Arabidopsis thaliana: one gene and its partners. The protein of the gene in region 3 interacts with the protein of the main gene of each other region in a pairwise test. Each region holds a gene or a part of one and is shown on either strand. Other genes may lie near its edges.

The links. The genes of interacting proteins can lie anywhere in the genome.
Region 1: the proteins of CPK4 (region 3) and TOC33 interact in binary tests that used the Arabidopsis thaliana proteins (3 or more experiments, as listed by UniProt).
Region 2: the proteins of CPK4 (region 3) and DI19 interact in binary tests that used the Arabidopsis thaliana proteins (3 or more experiments, as listed by UniProt).

The regions. Positions count from the first base shown.
Region 1 is NC_003070.9:446,731-453,711, forward strand, and holds TOC33 (translocon at the outer envelope membrane of chloroplasts 33), read right to left. Parts: upstream 3,697-6,981; 5' UTR 3,631-3,696; intron 3,529-3,630; 5' UTR 3,517-3,528; coding exon 3,421-3,516; intron 3,317-3,420; coding exon 3,209-3,316; intron 3,109-3,208; coding exon 2,984-3,108; intron 2,760-2,983; coding exon 2,495-2,759; intron 2,394-2,494; coding exon 2,325-2,393; intron 2,244-2,324; coding exon 2,082-2,243; intron 2,004-2,081; coding exon 1,935-2,003; 3' UTR 1,693-1,934; downstream 1-1,692. Other genes in the region: AT1G02290 (uncharacterized protein), read right to left, coding at 3,916-5,247; AT1G02300 (Cysteine proteinases superfamily protein), read left to right, coding at 6,558-6,635, 6,864-6,917. UniProt on the Arabidopsis thaliana protein: GTPase involved in protein precursor import into chloroplasts. Seems to recognize chloroplast-destined precursor proteins and regulate their presentation to the translocation channel through GTP hydrolysis. Binds GTP, GDP, XTP, but not ATP.
Region 2 is NC_003070.9:21,071,163-21,077,795, forward strand, and holds DI19 (drought-induced 19), read right to left. Parts: upstream 3,716-6,633; 5' UTR 3,564-3,715; coding exon of another isoform or gene 3,515-3,563; intron 3,287-3,514; 5' UTR 3,108-3,286; coding exon 2,898-3,107; coding exon of another isoform or gene 2,895-2,897; intron 2,813-2,894; coding exon 2,747-2,812; intron 2,632-2,746; coding exon 2,399-2,631; intron 2,316-2,398; coding exon 2,204-2,315; 3' UTR 2,144-2,203; intron 2,063-2,143; 3' UTR 1,693-2,062; downstream 1-1,692. Other genes in the region: AT1G56270 (RPB1a), read right to left, coding at 1-474; AT1G56290 (CwfJ-like family protein), read left to right, coding at 4,777-4,812, 4,902-5,189, 5,273-5,476, 5,556-5,720, 5,823-6,224, 6,363-6,445, 6,546-6,633.
Region 3 is NC_003075.7:6,046,029-6,053,939, forward strand, and holds CPK4 (calcium-dependent protein kinase 4), read left to right. Parts: upstream 1-3,412; 5' UTR 3,413-3,531; coding exon 3,532-4,069; intron 4,070-4,611; coding exon 4,612-4,755; intron 4,756-4,844; coding exon 4,845-4,997; intron 4,998-5,098; coding exon 5,099-5,214; intron 5,215-5,426; coding exon 5,427-5,594; intron 5,595-5,681; coding exon 5,682-5,906; intron 5,907-5,994; coding exon 5,995-6,156; 3' UTR 6,157-6,352; downstream 6,353-7,911. Other genes in the region: AT4G09580 (SNARE associated Golgi protein family), read right to left, coding at 6,693-6,824, 6,899-7,069, 7,153-7,423. UniProt on the Arabidopsis thaliana protein: May play a role in signal transduction pathways that involve calcium as a second messenger. Functions as a regulator of the calcium-mediated abscisic acid (ABA) signaling pathway. Phosphorylates ABA-responsive transcription factors ABF1 and ABF4 in vitro.

The DNA of each region.
Region 1 (6,981 bases), on a different chromosome or scaffold from region 3:
ATTCTTCTTCTTCTTCTTGTCCAACTTTTTCTACGAAATTATAGCAAATCAAATTCATGCTATTTATTGAACGCAAATGTTTAATTTTCAGACAAATCAGATTCTTACTTTTGCTGTTCAAACCCCAAAATTCAATGAAGAAATTTTATAATATTCATCAGATACTGAGCGGATTTTAAGCAAAAAACCAAGAGAAGTGATAGATACTGAGCGAGTTTGATATGAAGATTATCTTGGCCGGAGGTTGATTATCGTCTTTCCAACGAAGCAACTGCAACACCATTATATGGATATTTGGTGTCTCGTCATCAGAGTCGTGCCAATGAATTTTGATGCTATAAACAAAAAAATATAGTTTAATATTTTAATAAATAATGTAAACATAACAAAAAAATTATTTATTAAAATATACACATAACAAAGAAGACGGAAAGCTCCTCTCTCACAAGCCAGGCTATCTCGCCACCTGCTATACCTTTGAATATTTCAAAGGTCTTTTTTGAGAAGTATTTCAAAGGTCCGTCTTCTTGACACTACCGGCGACAAGAGACATTTTTACAACGAAAGAGTTCGATAATAGAAAGGTTAGTAAAAAAATAAAAATATTCTTTGTCGTAATTATTTCAAAGGTCATTTTTGAGAAGTCAATAAAACTATGTTTTGTTTTGTTAACAACATGCATTATACCGTTTGATTGATAACATAATAACGACACTAGCACATTTTACTAGTTTACACATTATAATCAACCTAATCGTTTTTGGTCATATTTTTGTTCTAAATTATTTATGTTTTGCTTAAAATTTGCTTAATTTATTATTAAACTTTAAATATTAATTATTTTTTTTGTTATGTTTATAATATTTATTAAAATATTAAATCATATTTTCGCGTATGGTATCAAATTTTTTTGGCACGTTCTGTTTGGATGTTATGTCACAAAAATTAAAAATTTAGTACTTACAAAAAAAACAAAACATGGTTGAAAAAATCTTTCAATCAATTACTAAAAAAAAAAGTAAATGAAGAAAGCAATACCTCATGCAGCAGCTTGTGATATGATCCAAAAACAAATCGGGACAGCTAAAGGTCTTGGCTGGTACAAGCAAAAACTCGGTCTCCTTGAGCCCATCCAGCTTCTTTCAGGTACTACAACATATTAAAAAGATTGCACATGTCAAAATGACTATTACCATATCCAAATTTCGATTGTTTCCTACTTTCCTTTTATCTTCAACAGTTGTTTCCTTTTTCTTATTTGAGAACGTTCGAGAAATCTGGACCGTCTATTTTCATCATATTGCAACTGTGAGATCTGATGGTGATTATCTAATCTAAACGGTAAGTTTGTTAGATTATGTGGGACCGGGACGATCTATTTCTTAAACCTCTGTTACAAACAAACACTCATGTCTATTAGTATTAGGAAATAAGAGATGGATATGATGATGATTCCGAACCAATTCTCAATAAACTGTTTATAATGGAACAGAAGCAGCAGTGATTGATGATCTAACAGACATTGACATCAGGCTACCAATGCTAGTCTTCCTGTGGGAGATAGAAGCGGCCTTGGTTATGCCGAGTTTTCTGTTGATCTGTGTTTATGTAATCACCCGAGGATGCAAACAATTAATCCCATCAGCTAAAAGACTTGTTTGATTCAAAACAGACTTTAGCAGATCATTTGTTTTTCTTATCTACAGAACATAATATATTCTTTTTTTGGTGATATTATGATTGGGAAACATCCATTTCATTTAACCAGAAAGCATGGCAATCTTTTCTTTGAACAAATCTCCATAAATTACAGACAAAGATAAAGCCGGAAACAAGAAAATGTTGCAGATAAAATCTAACAAAAGAAAGAACAATCGAAAAACTCTTCTTCTCCTTGTAATTTGCTCACAACAAAACCTCTTCTTCAGAGCCTCTTAAAGTGGCTTTCCACTTGTCTTGATATCATTTCTGATTGCTCCTTGAATCATCTTAACGATCAAATACTGCAAAGTAGAAGAAAGGATTTCACTTGTTTACCAAATTCGAACAAGACAATAAATCAAACTGTGTCTCTTTCTTACCTGAGCGCCTATGATAAGAGGGATGAGTTTCTTTCCTTTATCATCAGAGTAAGATCCATCTACCATCTTCTTGTCTACATGAATTGCTTTCCTCTGGTTTGTTGCTACATCAGTTATCGCCTTAACCAAGTTCGGGATCCACGCTTCACCATTTGGAAGAGCCTGAACCGAGAGCAGGTAAGCAACTTTTAACAGTCAGTCTCTCTCCAAGTCGGATCAAATCAGAGATTCGAAAACACAAACCTTTTCGTCCTTATCGTTCTTGCTGCATCTTCCGCTGTTCTCTGCATAGACTACCGCGATTGCAGAATCCTACAAGCCAGTAAAGAATGAAACTGATTCTTGCTACAATGAACCAAACATACATTGGTATAACAATTTTCGGAGACAGGTATATGTATAAATAACCATACCTCAAACTCTTGTTTTCGCATCTTAGAACCAGCCCGGATAGTTTTGAGGAGAGAATCTGATCTCTTGGAGGAAAAAGTTTCGTAGGAAAGTTCATCGGGAGGGGAAAATTGAGCATGAGTCAGAACAAGCAAGGTTTTGCACCATATCTCTTTTCCAAAGGTTTGGGTGATTGCTATAACAACTTGCTTATCTAGCTCATCGACTCTATACACATCCAAACGATCAACATAGAGCAAGACATCTATTGTTCTGTTCACAAGAAACCTGTCCAAAATCCGAGAAACACAACAACTATCGTAAAACTTCCACACACACTCCAATATACAGCTTCAGCGTAAACCAGATACTCATAATTCACAATTTCAACAGAAACCCACAAGTAAACATGTTAACCACATATATACTTAGCTTAATTAATTCAAAAACGAATGAGATAATCCTATATGCAACAATCAACGAAGAGATATTCCAAAAGAGTAGCTACTGACCCTTTGATTAACTCGAGAGCTTGGTGATTGACATATCCAGCTTCCACAAGTCCAGGGGTGTCAATAATGTTGATAGTGAACCCTCCCATTGTTCTTGAAACCATCACTGGTCTCAATCCTTCAGCCTACAAAATCAACAAAACAGAGCCATCAAATATCTTGAAATGACTACTCTTTCTTAATCCAAATTAAAAAAATCAAGCTTAGGGAAACTGAATTACGTACTTGGAAAGGACTGACACGGACGACTTGTTCGCCGATAAGAGAATTGACAGTGGATGATTTTCCGACACCGCCTTTACCCAGAACAAGAACTGTCATTGAGTTCATATCCTGCAATTACAAAAACCTCCCATCATTATCTCCTAATCACAACGGAGAATCCGAGAAACCGACTTAAGCACCAAAGAAACAGGAACAACAACAACAAAACACACCTTTTGCTTCAATTTTCCGAAGAATTCAATCAGCTTTTCCTGGGTAGCTGCTGGAAATTGCTGAAACCCAACCCATTCACGAACGAGAGACCCCATCACTCCTAAACCCTTCAGCAAAAAAATTCTTTTGGTAAATAATCGCTGAGTGATGACGATGATGATAATTAATTTCGAAAGCGATAACGTTTTGGGAGATTTGGAGGAGCTTACCGTTGTGTGAGGAGCGTTTGAGGTTTTTGGAAGAAGCTCTCTCGATGTGTTCCGCAGAGAAAAGCTAAAGAATGTGACCTTATCGGTAATTTGTTTAATAGTTCAAATTATTTTCACTTTTACTCCTCTATTTCTTTAGTGTTTCTTTTTAGTGCCTTCAAATTTTGAAAACTAACAAACTCAACCCCAAACCAAATCCAGTTACCAAGTTGCAGCATTACACTTCATATTTTCATGGAAGACTACATTAGGTGGAACATTGAATTAGCATAGCGTCACGGGAGCTCAAGCGATTCTCTGAACCTTTCTTCGCTTGTAAGTCAAGGAAAACAAATGGTCACTATTGGCTTCTCGAGCATGATTGTCTTCGCTCAGGACCCCCAGCGGTTTTCTCAGAGCCTTGGCTTCCCTCTGAAAGTTATTACTAGACGAAATCCTCTTGCTCTCTGTTGTTTCAGAGCCTCTGTCAACAGTCCTAGGCTTAAAACCAGGAGACTTCAGGTGGTACCGGACATATTCTTCTTGCTTTAGAGGTATATTCTGTTCTGTGATGGAGTAATTTGAAACACGGAGAGCACTGGGAACAGTGTGTGTTGGATCATGAAACACCGGTTCTGTACCTTGGATTGATCTTTGTGTAGTTTCCAAATAGGTTAAGAAAGGGTCTGGGATAGAACAGCCAAGAGTTCCGTAGGGTGGTTTCTCAAATGTCGTACCTAAGTATGGAGACGCTGCAAATCTAGTACTCTTTGAACCGGTTTCATGGATTTGCAGGAGATTGTTTCCTGGAGCTACATAGGGTTTCCTGAGGATGGCAGAAGAAGATTTAGGGACTAATTTGAGAACACCCTTTGGCAAAGTCTGATGATGATGGCCAGCAGAAACTAAGCTGGAACCTTGATACCGGAATACTCCTTCCTTGGTTATCTTTATCTTGAGACTGTTCTTGGAGCTGCCACTGCGAGGGAAGGTTAAACTTTTCGATCTATTTCTTTCCACGGGTTTCACTACATTGGGAGTTTTGAATCTACATGTAGCACTATCCATTTCCTTAGATGGAACTCTATTGAGGTCCAGTAGCTTGAGATTACCGGTTTGAGTTCGTCCTGACCAAATGAGGAGCCTTGAGTAATTGCCCAATTTATTTCCATACTGAACCCACACCCTTTGCATTTCGGTAAATGTCCTGATCAGCTTTTCATGATAGAACTTTAAAGAGTAGTAATACTTTCTCCTCTTGACAAACATAACACCTTCTTTGAAACAAGCTACCTTTGGAGTAAACAATCCACCTAGCAAATTCTTGTAAAACTTATCCTCTGGATTCCCAAAATATAAATTGGCACCATCAAGAAGTTCCTGCATCGTCAAACTGAAAGTCTGTGGATCCATATCTGGCAGAAAACATGAGAGGAAGAATCTTTCTTCTTCAGTCAGAAGTGAGTTCCAAGTCTCAACAGACAATATTCCCGTTAAATCTGGTAGATCGTAGAGCTCGTATGGTATGTTACAGAGCTGACCTTCAACCAAAGCTAGCTCACAGTTTACTTGCGCAATGTCGTAATCATCAGAGTCATCATCTTCAGAGTCTAGCCCAACTGTTTGATTCTTATTCATCTGTAGTTAACCACTTACTACCCTTAAAACACAAGTACTTCAAATCTCCAACCACAAACTCAGTAGAAAGGAACACAAGCAGGAGATACCTAGATAGAAAATGTTAAAGACTCATCATCAGCAATTCACATTACAAGAATTCTACTACAATACAATGGACAGCGAGAAGCTGAGTATGTTACTAATCAGAAATCAAACGAACATAAATAGCATTTTACTCACTGATTTCAGCAACAACAACACTAAAGGCTATATAAAACACGAAATATACATTGTGAGATCAATGAAGCACTCAAAAAGAAGAAGATACACAACACCAGAAAATCTCCCAGATCGGATCAGCTACAAAGCTTAAACGTAATCGATCGCGAACTCAATCAATAACCAAAATCAAAAGCTCCAACAAGGCAAATAACTAGAGAGCGAAAACCCTTGGATTTGACAACAAAAATGTGCAGACAATTTGAATAAAAAACAAGTATCATACAAATCTCAGCACAAATCAGCTCCAATGAGTTTCAAAAACCTACCGGAACTAATAAAAAAAAAGAATCTCGAGATATTCAGAGAAATCGATCGGAAAGCGTAAAAGACGAGGAGCTTACCGGCTCTAAAGACAGGTGAAATTAGCAGATTAGGGTCGAAGAAACCATATCCCTTTGGCTACAGATACGAACTTCATCGCCTTCAAAGATTCTCTGCTTCCTTTCTAGAGATTTCTATGGCTTTTCGATCGATGCGACAGTAGAGTAGAGACTAGAGAGACTAATTACTGTTACACTTGTATTTTGATTTCTTTAATTAAAGCCGCCTAAAGTAACTAATGCCTTGATTACTTTAATTAATAATCATTTTTAAATTGTGATTTATAATCAAGTTAGACATTACTTCACAAATAGTTTGGGCCTGGAAACGTATAGGCCCATGTAAACTTTAATAAAAGAATCACCTTGCAGGTAAGTATAATATCCTGATATTATTATTTACTTGATAGAATGGGCCTATAATAAAAGAAATCACCATTAAAGAATTATAGGCCCATGATATCAAGTAAATATCAAGAAATGATGATTAATGATCAAGTTAGACATCATTACTTGATATTTTGGTAAGTAGGATCAATCAACGGTCAGGATCCTTTTAGTAAAATCATGTGTCATTTTCAGTTTGTCTAAAAGATAAGCCTTTCACTTTCTCTCTCTGTCTTATTAGAAAAGAAAATTTGTACCGTTTCCAAAGTCTGAGCCAATCATTGTGTTGATTCTGGAATTCTTTGTGGGAACGAGAAATTTGTACAAGGGAGATTCATCATGGCTGATAGTTGTTGTATCAGACTTCACTTATTAGCCTCTGTTTTCTTGCTCTTATTTTCATCCTTCAACTTGCAGGTACTTTAAACTTTCGTAATCTGTGTGTTAAAATTGCTTACTAAGATCGATTTGTTGGACTCTTGAGCTACAAGTTAAAAAAAAACAAAATAAATCAAACTTTGTGATTTTTTTCTCTGCGTATCAATCTAAGACATATGAAGGGGAAATGTATATATGGTTTTTTGTAATTGTTTCTATATCAGTAAAGTTTTAAACTTTTGAAGCTGGTTTATCTCTTAATCTCAGGGTATTGCAGCGGAAAATCTTTCCAAGCAGAAACTGACCTCACTGATTCTTCAGGTTTTGATCTTAATCCACACAATTATCTGTATTGTTTTCGTCTCTTTTAGATTGCCTAAACGTT
Region 2 (6,633 bases), on a different chromosome or scaffold from region 3:
TTGGTTTGGTGGGTCAACACCACCCAATGAATTTGCTGGTAGATTTATGACATCTCGGAAAGCTATGTACAATACGGCGAAGAGCCACGCAAGCCATAGGGGAACAACGATAAGAGAAAAGATGGAAGACACAACAGATATGAGCAAGAGAGCTGCGAGAGCACCAAAGAGATGGCTTATATGTCCCACGAGCATGCGAAACGATACGATGCGAAGTTTGATCTCGTAGATACGAAGAAAGGCGTAGATCAATATGAGAACCCAGTAACAAAGGAAAGTGGCTCGATGAGTCTCGAACATAACAGATGTAGAGACAACTGCATTGGTTCCGATAGCCGACAGGTCGCTGAGCTGGAGAAATCCAAAAACACCGGCGTTCATTAACACCACGAGCTTGTGCACCGCTGCAGAATACAACTCGTGATTTGGCTCCTCATCCCCGGAGCTATGGAGAGTCGTGTGATTAGCGGACATATTTTGTTTTGTTTTGTTTTGTGGTACGTTTTTGGTTTTTATTGTATCATACGTAGAGTTTATATAGGTAATACGTATCGCCGACGTCACATGGGCACGTACTATCTATGAAATTGACAAAAATCAAAATGTATCAATAAGTTTTTTTATCGTTTTGGAATTTGGATGGTTCGCATATGCTCGTCATTGACATTGACGGACTTCTTTTTTTTCCGTCCATTGACCGACTTTGTCTCTTCGCATGGAGAGATAGCATAATAATTAATATAACAAAAGTAGTTTCAACTAATTCTAATTGTATAAATTTCAATTAATATGATGAATAATTTACACATTTAACTTCCGAATGCAAATGTTAGTAAATTAATGAACATTCGAGTTGCAGGCACGCTTCCAAATAGTCAAACTAAACTAATGGCATTGGATCCTTGCATATGATTATAGTAAAAGATTACGTACATGAAAATATAATGTAATTTATAAATAATAAACTATTAGGTAGTTTATTGGTACTATGTGCGGGTTGAAATAATTACTAAGTCTCTAAATATATTGTAGTTTTAGTTACAAAATTTATTGTATTATTATCCAAAATATGAAATCTGTATGTATTATGGAACATGTAATCTACTTTTTTTTGTTATTCGAATCAATGAATTTTCATATTGGAATTCTCTTAATCCGTAAAATGATTGAGAACAATGTGAAAATAGAGGTACAAACATAAATAAAGATTTGTGAGTCAAATTTAAAGAAACTTAATTAAAAGTAACAACTTACAAAATAATAAGAATGTCTTAAGCTTAAAATTTGATTAATTAATTTATACTCTAAATTCATAATATAACAAATTATAAAATTACCATTCAATTTCTAAATAAAAACTTTAAAAAAATATATAAAGAAAATTCCAATCTTCATCTGAAACTAAATATCTAAATGAAAAAAATAACATATCCAAAATTTCACAATCTGAATCTAGAAATTTCAATTTAAATTTCTAATTCTAAAAATTGAGAACGGCTCCTAAATATACTAATCTAAATAGAAATCTAACAATGAAATTTAAAATCATTGAGAGAATTGATATTGAGTGAGAGATATCAAGAGAGTTTAAATGAGAGAAACATATCTTTATAGAGATGTGAATGAAGAGAGAAGTGAGATTGAGTGGTAGAGATCAAGAGCGTTTAAGTGAACGACGAGCGAGAATTGAGTAGAGAAAAACACACACACACCAAAAGTAACAATATTGTTGAATTATTCTTAAACAGATGACTTCGTACGTGGTTTCTCAACCACTCTTTTATCACTCTTTTACTAGCTTACAAGAGTGAACATTTTTCATTTCATAAGACACACAACACAAGAACACCAATAGGGTTTATGCTACAGACAAGAGGACTTATTCTTCTTCCTATATCTTACTTTTCAATTGCTTAATAAACTTAAGAAAACACATTTCTACGCAATGTATTTAGTAGCACCAAACAGACACAATACATAGATAGATATAGATATTGATAACATAGCTGCATCTCGCTCTTCTCCGTCTTCTTCTCATCCCAACCATTGTTTTTCTCGAAACCTACACACAGTTGAATCAAGATTCCGATGAAAATGTGTCTGTGTAGGTTCTTTTACACAACTAACAGAGCTTCATATATACCAGATTCTCTCAAGTCTGATTCGAATTAGTTCCTCCATGTTCTCAATCTTTGTATGTGCATTAGACTTCATCGAAAATGGCTGATGACAAGAGCCTCTGAACAAACTCTGATTTGTGCCTCCTCTCTTCCCGATCTTTTAACGAGACCGGTGAGATGAACACTTGTCTCTTGCTGAACAAGTTCAATGCTAATCAAAAACTAAACCTTCAAAAAACTCTATAATCTAATAAAGAAAGCTAATATAGAATCTATACCGCTCTATCTGTTTATCCTCGGATACGTTTTTGGTTTGGCGTGGCGCAGGAGAACTCTGTGATCGTGTAGGTGAGATAAATGACGACAGGAGAGGATCAGGAGTTACACTTGACGCAACAGAACCATTACGAGAAGTAAATCCTAACAACCTTTGTAGATCTCCTTCTCTTAGTTCTTTCCGAAGAAGTGAAAGTGTCGAATTGGTACCGCTTTTTCGTGACTTTCTCTTTCGCTGCAAGTAAAACTCATTAAGGAATTCAACAGAGGAATGTGATTCCATGGTGAGAAACTAAGAATATCTGTAAGTTATAAACGTAGAAATTGAAAAAAGGATATCTTAAATAAACTCCCATGGTGAAGCGTTTGTGTGCTACGATATCAACTCCCACTTTAAGAGAACAAACAGGGCATACCTGAAAAATCCAATGTACACATTTGCTATATAATTTTTGATTCCAAGTTGATTTGATAGTAAAGACCAGTAGAGAGCAATACCGCGTTCTTCGACTCTAAAGTATGTTCATCATCTATGTGACAGCACAACCCGATGATATCATACGATTCTGCACAGAACGGGCAAGCAAACTCCTCCTGGAAATCATCATCTCCATCTATTTCTTCAAAGCCCATTAACATTTCTACAATTTTCAAACATAAAAGATCATATATATTTGCAAGTATGATACTGGTAAAAGCACAAAATTTCATCTAGCCAAGTAACAACAATATGAAAGAAAAACAAAACTAGACTCCATGAGACAACCTGCTGAATCATGTTAACCTAGATAGGAACATCCAGTTTTTTTGTTGTCTTTATTTCAGAAGCAAATCTATTACAGCTCCTAAACACAACAAGTTTAAGAATTTTTCTTACATAGCTCAAAAACCTATATAGCCAGAAACATAAATATGAGTCAAACTGTTCTTTCACTTACATAACTAACCAAATAATTTCGCATAAAGTCAAGAAAACACGATATTTGAATCAAACTCATGTGATAAAAAAAGTTTGAAACTTTATTCAAATATTCCCTTCTTGAGAGCTCAAAAATCAAAATTACCAAACTTACAAAGCTCAAAATCAAAGTTGACATAAAGGTACTGTAGTTTCTCACCAGATCGGGATCGAAGCGTAGCTAGAAATCTCTTGGAATCAGCGTCCATCTTTGCCCCTACGAAATTGTCGAACTTTTGGAGCAAATAGAAGGACGAATTTGTAATAAATCTCAAGCCGGATCGATCCTGAATAGATGAAGAAGAAGACGATGATTTCTTGGTAGGAGGAGAGAGGAAGAGAAAGTGCGTTGTGAATGAGGACTATTATCGATTTCTCAGAAATGGTGAGACCGGTTCTCGACATTCCAGTTCCCGGTTTGTTGATTTGTTCCGGTTATCAGTCCCGGTTCTTCAATTTTATCTCGTATCATCGATTCTGATGGACCGGTTAACAAATTCCAAATCCCGGTTGGTATTTGTCTGGTATTATCGACTTTCAGAAATGATGGACCGGTTCTCGAATTTCCAAATCCCGGTCGTTTTTCTCTTCCGGTTTATAGTCGCAATTCGTTGTTTTCTTTGGTATTATCGGTTTTGCAGAAATTATGGACCGGTTATTGGATTCATATTCCCGGTTTTGTTGTGTGTTTGTCCGGTTTATAGTCCGGGTTCGTTGCTTTCTCTGAGTTTGTATTTCTTATGTTATTTATTTCTGGAGCCCTAAATTTATCAATCGAACAGAGCAAATCGTTTCCTTCTTCCGAACAGAGTTCATCATCCATCGCCGGAGTAGCTGTCTTCTTCTTCTTCTTTTTCCGGTAAGTTTCCTGAGAATTAGTTCTTTATTCTTCATTAACGAAGATAAAGGAGACATATTTGCTTAAGATTGCTCTCTGTTTCAATTCTCTAGTTTCTTAAATTCTCCAATTTGGTTCCAATCGAAGTACAGTATATTGGTCGTCGTGTTGCATTTCGATTGAAGTTTGTTTATGGGTTTTCTTAAGATCTCTCAATCAGTAGGGTTTAGAATCTATAGGATCAAATTTAGTTTCAAACTTTCAATCTCGTTGCTTTAAGCTTTAATAACATCTACCTAGTGACCTACAAGCTTAGCACTAGTAAAGTATGATCTTACTGATCAGAGGATTGTAATTTGTAAATATTGTGGCTGAGGTTTGCTTAGTCAAATAATGTGCTTGCATCTTGCTTTTGGTATTGCTGATTTTGTTGATCTCTGGATCTTGTTCTGTTTACAGTAGTATCATGGCTATGACATGGTCTAATTTGTTTTCTGTTTTGTGTAGGTTTGAAGTTTGCTTCGCTCTGCCTTTGAAGTCTGTTGATTATTTCTCCAACAGGACCTTGGACAGATATTGTTAATATGTTTTCTGGGATAAAGATCATACCTCGTGATGAGGTAAAGTTTCTAGTTTCATATGATCCTGAATTTTCTTTTGTGTTTATTCATCTTGGATTGAGTTTGATGTTATTTTTCTTTGCTATTAGGTGCATGATGATAGTTGGGAGGGGGAAAGAGAGAAATCTAAAGGTGGGAAGGATAGAAGAAGAAAGAACAAGGACGTAAATAGAAAGGAGCGTAGGGGAGAAGGAAGTAAGAGAGATGGGAAGAAGATTGCCAAGAGTGGAGATGGCGAGACCGTTGATGATGACTTGCTTGAAGGGGATATTGTTAGAAAGAAAATGGGTCTCGATTGGATGCTGCCGCCAACCCGAAAGGCTGATCCAAACCCTGCTTCAGATGTAGAGGATAAATTTGAAGAAAGTGCACCTGAGGTGAGGGAATTTTTATTTGAGAGTATCTTTCTAACAAGTCCGTATTAGATAGTTAAGTTAATGCTTTTTATTTTCTCTGCCAGGTAACTAAAGTTAACCCAAGGGAACTAAATCCTTATTTGAAAGAAAATGGAACCGGTTATCCAGAGGAAGAATCTGAGAAAAAACATGGTAAAGACCAGCTTTTACCTTCTTCGGTTGTTGGAGATGGGGGTGCAAGTTGGAGAATGAAAGCACTCAAGCGTGCGAAAGAACAGGCTGCGAGAGAAGGGCTAAGGCTTGAGGAGGTAAGTTTTGTATTGATTTACGATTAATATAGTCTCGTTGGTCTTTGAGTATTGCCTTATCATTTTGAGGGTTATGCAGGTTGCTGGCGAGCGATATGGTTCTCTTGGTAACCTTGTTGAGTCTGTCGCATCTCAAAGAGCAGCTCCATCTCGTGCCCATTTGAATGCCATAAATAATAGAAGAAGAGGGGAAAATGAAAAGAATGATTCAGAAAAAAAACCAAAAGAAAGAATTTCTGAGAAGGTACATGAACCGCTAATGTACTGTTTCATACTGGTTAGTACTGTTTCATACTGGGAATTATGACAGCTTATATTCTAACTTCGTGACGTATTTTATTTGAAGGGTAATAATCGGGAGTATTTGAAAGGTGAGTCGTTGAACCATCGTGTATTGAGAGCCCCCAAAACCGACCCTTCTTTATCCTGGGGAAAGAGAAAGAGCCAAACTCATAGAAACGAAGACTCGAAGCTGATATCTGAAGCTGCAGCTCACATGAATAAGTTTTCCAATGACGGAAATTTCATGAAGGAAATGCTTTCTAAGCAGAAGAATGTATCAGTGTCTCCCGTAGAGACTCGTGGAGATCACAGAAGTGATGTGGAGCAGGAAGCATTACCGTCAGAGACCAATAAGGATGACGAAGGGACTCTTCCGAGTATGGAAAATTTAAGTGTGAATAAACTGGCTGCTAAAGCCTTACAGCTCCGTATGAAGGGGAAACATGAAGAAGCCCAGAAAATTATGGTGAGACAATAACTTTGAAATTCCCAATCATTCACTTGCCTTGTGCCTGAGTCTTTTTTCTAACAGTTTTTCCTGAGTCTGATTAGTTGAGCTGTTTTTCCTGCTTACTTCTGAAGTGAATTCTCTTGATATTTACAGGAAGAAGCGGAAAGGCTGAAAGCAAAACAAGCTGTTGGAGACGATTCATCCAAAGACCACCACTCCATCAGAACCGCAGTGAGGTAAGTTTAGTTTACTTTTATTTCTGAGCTGTTTAGGGCGTTTCTTTTTTTTTTGTCAAATCGTTCTGATTTTAAAATGCCTCTTTTTCTTACTCATTAGATATCCTGTCAAAGATATGTCGGGTAGAAGGAAGAATGAAGATGATACGGATATGCATCTAGCCAAGAGCATAATGCAGAACAAACAG
Region 3 (7,911 bases):
TGATACATCATCATTTTAGCATTTATCACATGTTCTCTAAATAGTAAATGTAAATAATGGTTAATTATACATATTATTTAATTTTACATATTTAATTGTATCAATATTAATATTTAAAATTATTTTATTAGTTTTCTCATGCTCTAGGATTTTCTGCTAATTTTTATAATTTTAACTTAAAATATGGAATAAATAATAGTATATTGAATTAGCTAATAGTTCGAGTAGGTTATTCTTCAGAATTTTTAAAAAGAGTATGTGAGTAGCTCCACTATCAAATTTTTGAGGTTTGTATAATTATAACATTATAATTTATAAAATTGCTATAGCACAAAAATTGTTTAAAGATTGTGTGAGTGATACATTGTTGAAAATATTGTTAAGAATGTATTGCTAAAGATATTTATAGCAATTCACGGGCTTGGTATTTGGAGCTCAATAATTATCTCATCAAATCCAGTTTTAGAAACTAAGTGTCTGAATGCATTATTTCCTTATTTGTACATACAAAATGTTATACCATCCTCTATTCATTGGTCTATGTTAATGACATAATCATCACATGAAACAATTTGGATGCATTTGAAAATATTTTACAAAATCTAGCTATCAGTTTTCACTTAAAGACTTGGGTGAGTAAATATTGAAGAATAACTTACAAATTGATTCTATCAATCACAAATCGCAAACCTGAATGCTTTCGGTTGAACAAATCTCGTGCAGTTACTAGTGTTCCTCCTCTACCAAAATGACCAAGATGATATAGCATCCTACGATATGAACTAAGAAACCCAGTCTTGGTGGGATATCCGAAATCAACAAGATAGTACTTCCCACTAGGCGGATGTGGGAAAAAGGTTCATTCCTCGCACAATGATTCAAAACTTTTGTATCATGTGCTCTACAAGATATACTGACATATGCATATATGAATTTCATATCGAAGTTACATATAGCAAGAACATTCATTATATGTTCTATCTTTCTATATTTATATTTTTCTACAGATTGACTTAGACGGCGAACCGGGACATAAGTTCCATCAAGTGCTCCAACACAATCTCTAAAAACAGGCCAATATCAATCATCATTCTTCTAAACAGGGTTTACTCTCGTAAATTCACCTTCTTGTGGCTTTAGTGTATCCACTACAAACTTTAAAAGAGCACTCAAAACATCATCAATCTTTTTTTTTTTTACCGTATTCAATGACCGTTGATATCTTGTAACTATATCTCAAACAGTTTTATCCTGACCAACCACCTCGAAAAGTATTAGTGATTTCTACCTATATAGTGAAGAAGACCGTAAGTATTAGTTCCAAACATTTAGACCCATTATATAGAAACAGACATAGAATTTGGAAATTTTGAATAAACCGATCAAGCTGAGAGTAACTAAGAGAACACAAATAAATAAGAAACTCAAAATATTTAAGAGATTTCAGTCAGTGAATAACGAAAGTACCTCGGAGTAGAGATTCAACGTTGTATTAGAAGTAACCAACGACGGGAGATCTAGTTGAGCTCAAGTCACCGGATAATATTTCGCAAGATTGCGGCGGCGGAGAGAGATTGGTTTCAAAGAGTTTGAGATCGATGAGTGTAAGAGAGAAATGATGAAAAAGAAGTAGAAGAAATAGAGTTAGGTTTGTTTGTAGTTTCTCAAACATAATAAGGGTATAATTGTCATTTATCATATATAATACAACTTTTAAGCGTTGACCGCAGCATTATGCCGCACTTACTTGCATCTGCCGCTGTTGCAGCAACCTAGATAATCAAACGAACATCTTATTAAAAAAAAACAGAAGCTGAAAGCCCAAGCTTATTTAAAGATGGGCCAATAGGGGCCTGCATAAAGTTCCAATTTTATTTAGAAAATATCTATTTAACATCATTTATGAATAAAGTGTCCTCCGATGCTATTTGGGTTTGGTTAAAGATGGATTTTGGAGGTTTTCCAAATGATGTCAGATTTTGAAGATGAACAATGAAATAAATATATCTAAAGCTTATACATCTAGGTCTCTTACCCAACGGCGATGAAATAAAGAATACATGTACTAAAACGACGCATGCAAAATAATACCTGAAATTTTCTTTCTACGTTGGAACTCATTGCAAAAGATGAGGAATATTGCATAGCCATGGATTGGATAGAGCCATAAAGAATCGGTACACATTGCTTTTCATATTTTAATATCGTTAAGGCGTAATGTAATAAGTATTAGAAATGGATTTTTAAAAGTATTTAGATAGTTCGGGTTTAAATTTTATTTTATTGCTGATTGGACTTTGTTTTACAATTATAGAGAAATAATTTTGTGTTAAATTATAGTATTATACGACATTCACACAATTACATTTACATTAACATGTACCACGTCTATTTTATAATATTGCTCCAAAACGAAAGAGTGGTCTTCACGACGAGCGAGGTTTAAAATTTGTAGTCGTGCATTGCAAAAAGCTGCGAAAACCGTGTGAACTCTCAACCAAACCAAATATGATATGAAGAAATTGGTTCTTGTCCATTCGGTGGTTAGTGTGCATGCATGTCGGTGAATTTTATATGTTTTCCATTTACGACCTTTTCTCTTTATATCATATAGATTTTTAGGGGAAAAAAAAATCATATAGATTTTTAAAAAATCATGTTCCCAATTAAGACATAATGTTTAGTAGCCAAATTGAGAACCAACCTTTTTTCTGTTTATTAAATAATTTAAGTGGATGGATTTTACACATATATTTTAATGTCTTACATAAATAAAATATCATGTTATTTTTTTTGATAATATCATGTTTTATTGATAAAATCCATACATACTTGATACTTGCAAAAAATATCATGCACAAATTTATCTCTATAAATGGTTATCTACCTTTTTTTTTTTTTTTTTTTTGAACACAATTTACCTAATAATCTTAATAAATATAAGAGAAATGTAACGCATACTTTTGTTGGACATTGTTTTTGGTCGAGTCTGATTGGTTTTTTGTTCAGATCTATCGGATTTATGTATTTAAGATCTAATAAACAAATTATAAAAAATTTGATTCGATTTGGTTATCGATTTTATTAATAATGTTAATATAATCCGACTTACTTTGGTTAGAAAAATTAATTCAAAAGTAACAACAAAAAAAAATTGGATAACAAAACCATCTAAAATCCTGCTAATTAATTCACATCTAATAACCGAATCCGAACCTAAATGACCAAACCATTTGTGTAAAAATCTCAAGCCTAGTCCCTATATTTCAATAGATTTTTTTCTTTTTTTTTTGGTCAAGATCAATAGATTTTTTTCATCAATTCAATTTATTGCAAATTTGCAATAATAGTTGGTAAATACTATAAATGTAAATGGTCACGGGATAACAAAAGAGCAATAATAATATAATAATTGCATAAGACGAGTCAACATGACCAAGAAACATTGAAGGGTTCGTAACTTCGTATCATCTTCCTCCTCCTCCTTTGATAAACACCAAAAAAAGGCAGAGACTTTCGAAATCAAGAACAATGGAGAAACCAAACCCTAGAAGACCCTCAAACAGTGTTCTTCCATACGAAACACCAAGATTAAGAGATCACTATCTCCTCGGCAAAAAGCTAGGCCAAGGCCAATTTGGAACAACCTATCTCTGTACAGAGAAATCATCATCAGCTAATTACGCTTGCAAATCAATCCCAAAACGTAAGCTTGTATGTCGTGAAGACTACGAAGATGTATGGCGTGAGATTCAGATCATGCATCATCTCTCTGAGCATCCTAATGTTGTTAGAATCAAGGGTACTTATGAAGACTCTGTTTTTGTTCACATTGTTATGGAAGTTTGTGAAGGTGGTGAGCTTTTTGATCGGATTGTTTCTAAAGGGTGTTTTAGTGAACGTGAAGCTGCTAAGTTGATTAAGACTATTCTTGGTGTTGTTGAGGCTTGTCATTCTCTTGGTGTTATGCATAGAGATCTTAAGCCTGAGAATTTCTTGTTTGATAGTCCCAGTGATGATGCTAAGCTTAAAGCTACAGACTTTGGTTTGTCTGTCTTCTACAAGCCAGGTTCGTTGTTGATTCTTCTCTTTTGATTGGAATCTTATGGTTTTTGTCTTTGTTGGTTGGTTCAAGGAAATGTTTTGATTTGGTTTCTTGATTCGGATTTGCTGCTTGAGCATTGTTAGGGAAAGATTGAATTTTGTTATATCTGGTTTTGACATTTAGTTGATATATATGGATGTGTTGATTGTGCAAGGTTTTGTTATATATGTAACATATGCTTATGGTTATGAAGCGATCTTATCAGATTTTATTCGATTCATTGTCTAGATTATGTTGAGAAATGTCTTGTTTGGTGTTGAAAATCGGTTTCATGATATGTTATCTGTAGAATCATTTGTTGAATGGTCATTTCCAATTTGCTGCTTGAGCATTGTTAGAGAACCAATAATTTTCTGTGGCTAGATCTTTCTGAATCTTTTCTTGCAAGATTTACATAGTTTTGTTGTGTTACTTATGCTTATGTAATGATGCTATCAGAGCTACATTGTGTCCGACTAATTTCAGTGCTTAACAAAATTTTCAATTGTGTGGGTTTGCATCTTCAGGGCAGTATCTGTATGATGTAGTTGGAAGTCCGTATTATGTTGCACCTGAGGTTCTGAAGAAATGTTATGGACCAGAGATAGACGTGTGGAGCGCCGGTGTTATCTTGTACATCTTACTAAGTGGGGTTCCTCCTTTTTGGGCAGGTAAGTTTGTGAAAGCTAGTACCGTTGTTACTACTGAATCAAGTATATTGCTTATGTGATTTAAGCATCCATGAGTAATTTGTTTGCAGAAACCGAGTCAGGAATCTTTAGGCAGATATTGCAAGGGAAGATAGATTTTAAATCTGATCCGTGGCCTACTATCTCAGAAGGTGCTAAAGATTTGATTTACAAAATGCTCGATAGGAGCCCCAAGAAACGTATTTCTGCACATGAAGCATTGTGTAAGTTGTTACTTATGATTGTTTTCCTCTCTGCTACATGTATTTTGTTGTTCATTTCTGTAAGATATAAGAATTGAGTTTTCCTCTGATGATATTATTAGGTCACCCTTGGATTGTTGATGAACATGCTGCACCAGACAAGCCTCTCGACCCAGCAGTCTTGTCGCGACTTAAGCAGTTCTCGCAAATGAATAAAATCAAGAAAATGGCCTTACGAGTAAGAAAGTTGTAGCCCTTTAGTCTCCACTCTCATTGCTTATTTTCAAGAACTGATTTCCCTGTTAGGAAGATCGACTAAGATAACACATTTTAAGAACTATTTTCAGGAAATGAATAAACTTAAGTAAATGGCCTTATAAGTTGGAAAGCTATAGTTCTTTAAACTCTCAATGCCATTGCTTATATTCAAGAACTGATTTCCCGGTTTAGGTAATCGCGGAGAGACTCTCGGAGGAAGAGATTGGTGGTCTGAAGGAATTGTTCAAAATGATAGATACAGACAACAGTGGAACAATCACCTTTGAAGAGCTTAAAGCAGGTCTAAAGAGAGTTGGATCTGAATTGATGGAATCAGAAATCAAGTCTCTTATGGATGCGGTAATTATACCAAAACAAAAACTCTCTTTTAGAATATTGATTTCTCCGTTCTTCTAGGAATCACAAAGCTTAAATGGTGTTTTGCAGGCGGATATAGACAACAGTGGGACAATAGACTACGGTGAATTCCTAGCAGCGACATTACATATAAACAAGATGGAGAGAGAAGAGAACTTGGTGGTTGCGTTTTCATACTTTGATAAAGATGGTAGCGGTTATATCACCATTGACGAGCTTCAACAAGCCTGCACAGAGTTTGGTCTCTGTGACACTCCTCTTGATGACATGATCAAAGAGATTGATCTTGATAATGTAAGAAGCCTTCATGATCTGTTTCCTTTGTCTTGTTTCTTAGTGAGTTTGGTTTAAAACTGATGATGAAAATATGTGGTTTTGTTAGGACGGGAAGATTGATTTCTCAGAGTTTACTGCTATGATGAAGAAAGGAGATGGTGTTGGGAGGAGCAGAACTATGAGGAACAACTTGAACTTCAATATAGCTGAAGCTTTTGGAGTTGAGGACACAAGCAGCACTGCTAAATCTGATGATTCACCAAAGTAATTATAATCATCTATATACTTGGAATTGAGAAATGAGAACTCACAAAAGAAAAACTGAATCTTTCCTTTTTGTTTTCGTTTCCACTTTTGTAGATGAGCAACTTTCTCAATTTTGTTATAAGCATGGATAATTTTGCTTCATATTTTCTGCGTATAGAACCATTATATGATCAGAATCACCCATATTTGGTCAAAGCAATGTCTTCAAGCATTTACATAATCATGTTTGTTATACATAAGCCAATAGGCTGCAGAGTCAGATCTCTGAATCAAGTATTCAATATACAAAGCCAATCATGATTCAGTAAACTAGCTACACAAACACTTACTACTACAAGGGGGTAAGAGAAGCTCTCAAATCGAAGACAATAAACAAATCAAAGCCAGAGTTAGCGATTTTAAGCTCCGCGATGTTGCAGAAACAATCTTCTTCTTTTATCTTGAGCTCATAAACACCTTTGAAATGCTGCCATGCGACTGAAAGGTGCTGCTCATCAATATCTATATAAATGATTATACTCTTCAGTCTTCGACTCTTCATTCATATACTCTCTTTCTCTTTAGAAGGGCAGGGAATATGGAGATGGATCCAATGAGGAACAGCACTGACAAGGTCTTGAAATCATACAAATCCTTTACTGATCTGAGATCTCCAAGAGCCAAACCAGCCTGTGTAAATGAAAGTAAATGTTAGCCTCTTAAACACGAAAGAACAGCGGAATGAGATTGAACAATAGACTCACTCTAACTGTGATGTACGAAGCTGGCATAAGACCGACTAGAGTCGCCAAAAAGAAGACGTGAAAGGGTATGTCAACGATTGGAGAAGACAAATTGATAAAGAGGTTTGGAAGTGTTGGTGTTATCCTTAAGAACAGCATGTAGTTTAGCAGCCTATCTCTTCTTTTCGCAATCTGACCCATTGAAGATTTCAAGACATTAATGCTTTCAGAACAAGAGACATTACTAAATACTAATCAAACACAAAAGAACTTACCTCAGCTTGGAAAAACCTCAACTTTTCAGGCCATAACCAGTTAACCAATGGCCTACCGACCAATTTCGATAAGAAGAAGCAAGAACATGCTCCAGCAGTTGCATTAAGGACAACAAGAACAAAACCTCTAACCACACCGAAAAGAGCTCCAGCAAGCAATGACATAAAGATCGTTCCAGGTATCATAAATGTCTGCATAAAGATATACGTCGAACAGTAACCTAAAATGAACCGTGCTTGGTACTCACTTGCATAAGACCCAAGATTCTCTCTGCACATATTCATCATATCAATATATCATCATCATATAGTAAGTCCAAGCATATCACATTCAACTGAAAACGCAACTTTCAAATCAAGTCTTAATGCTAATGCATGTACTTATTTTGAAATTCAAGTAACACTACTAAAAGCTAAACACTTTCAGTTTCTACATTTGCATAAATTCAATTCTCAATCTATAATACCAAACAACAAGCTAATCACATACAAACAAACTGAGAATGCTGATTCTAGAATCATGTCTTTAAGCTAATTTTCTGCTCTCTAAAGTCTAAACCAATTTATCGGAATCTTCGAAAGATTCAAACTTTCAATATGGGTTTTTGAATTAGAATTCAGATTCAACAGATCACTATTAAAAAGCTAAACACTTTCAATTCCTACATTAGCTTAAACTCAATTTTTTCAATCAATAGAACAAACGAACAAGCTTATCACAAACAGAAAATTTTCCATCAATTTTCCGAAAGATTTGAA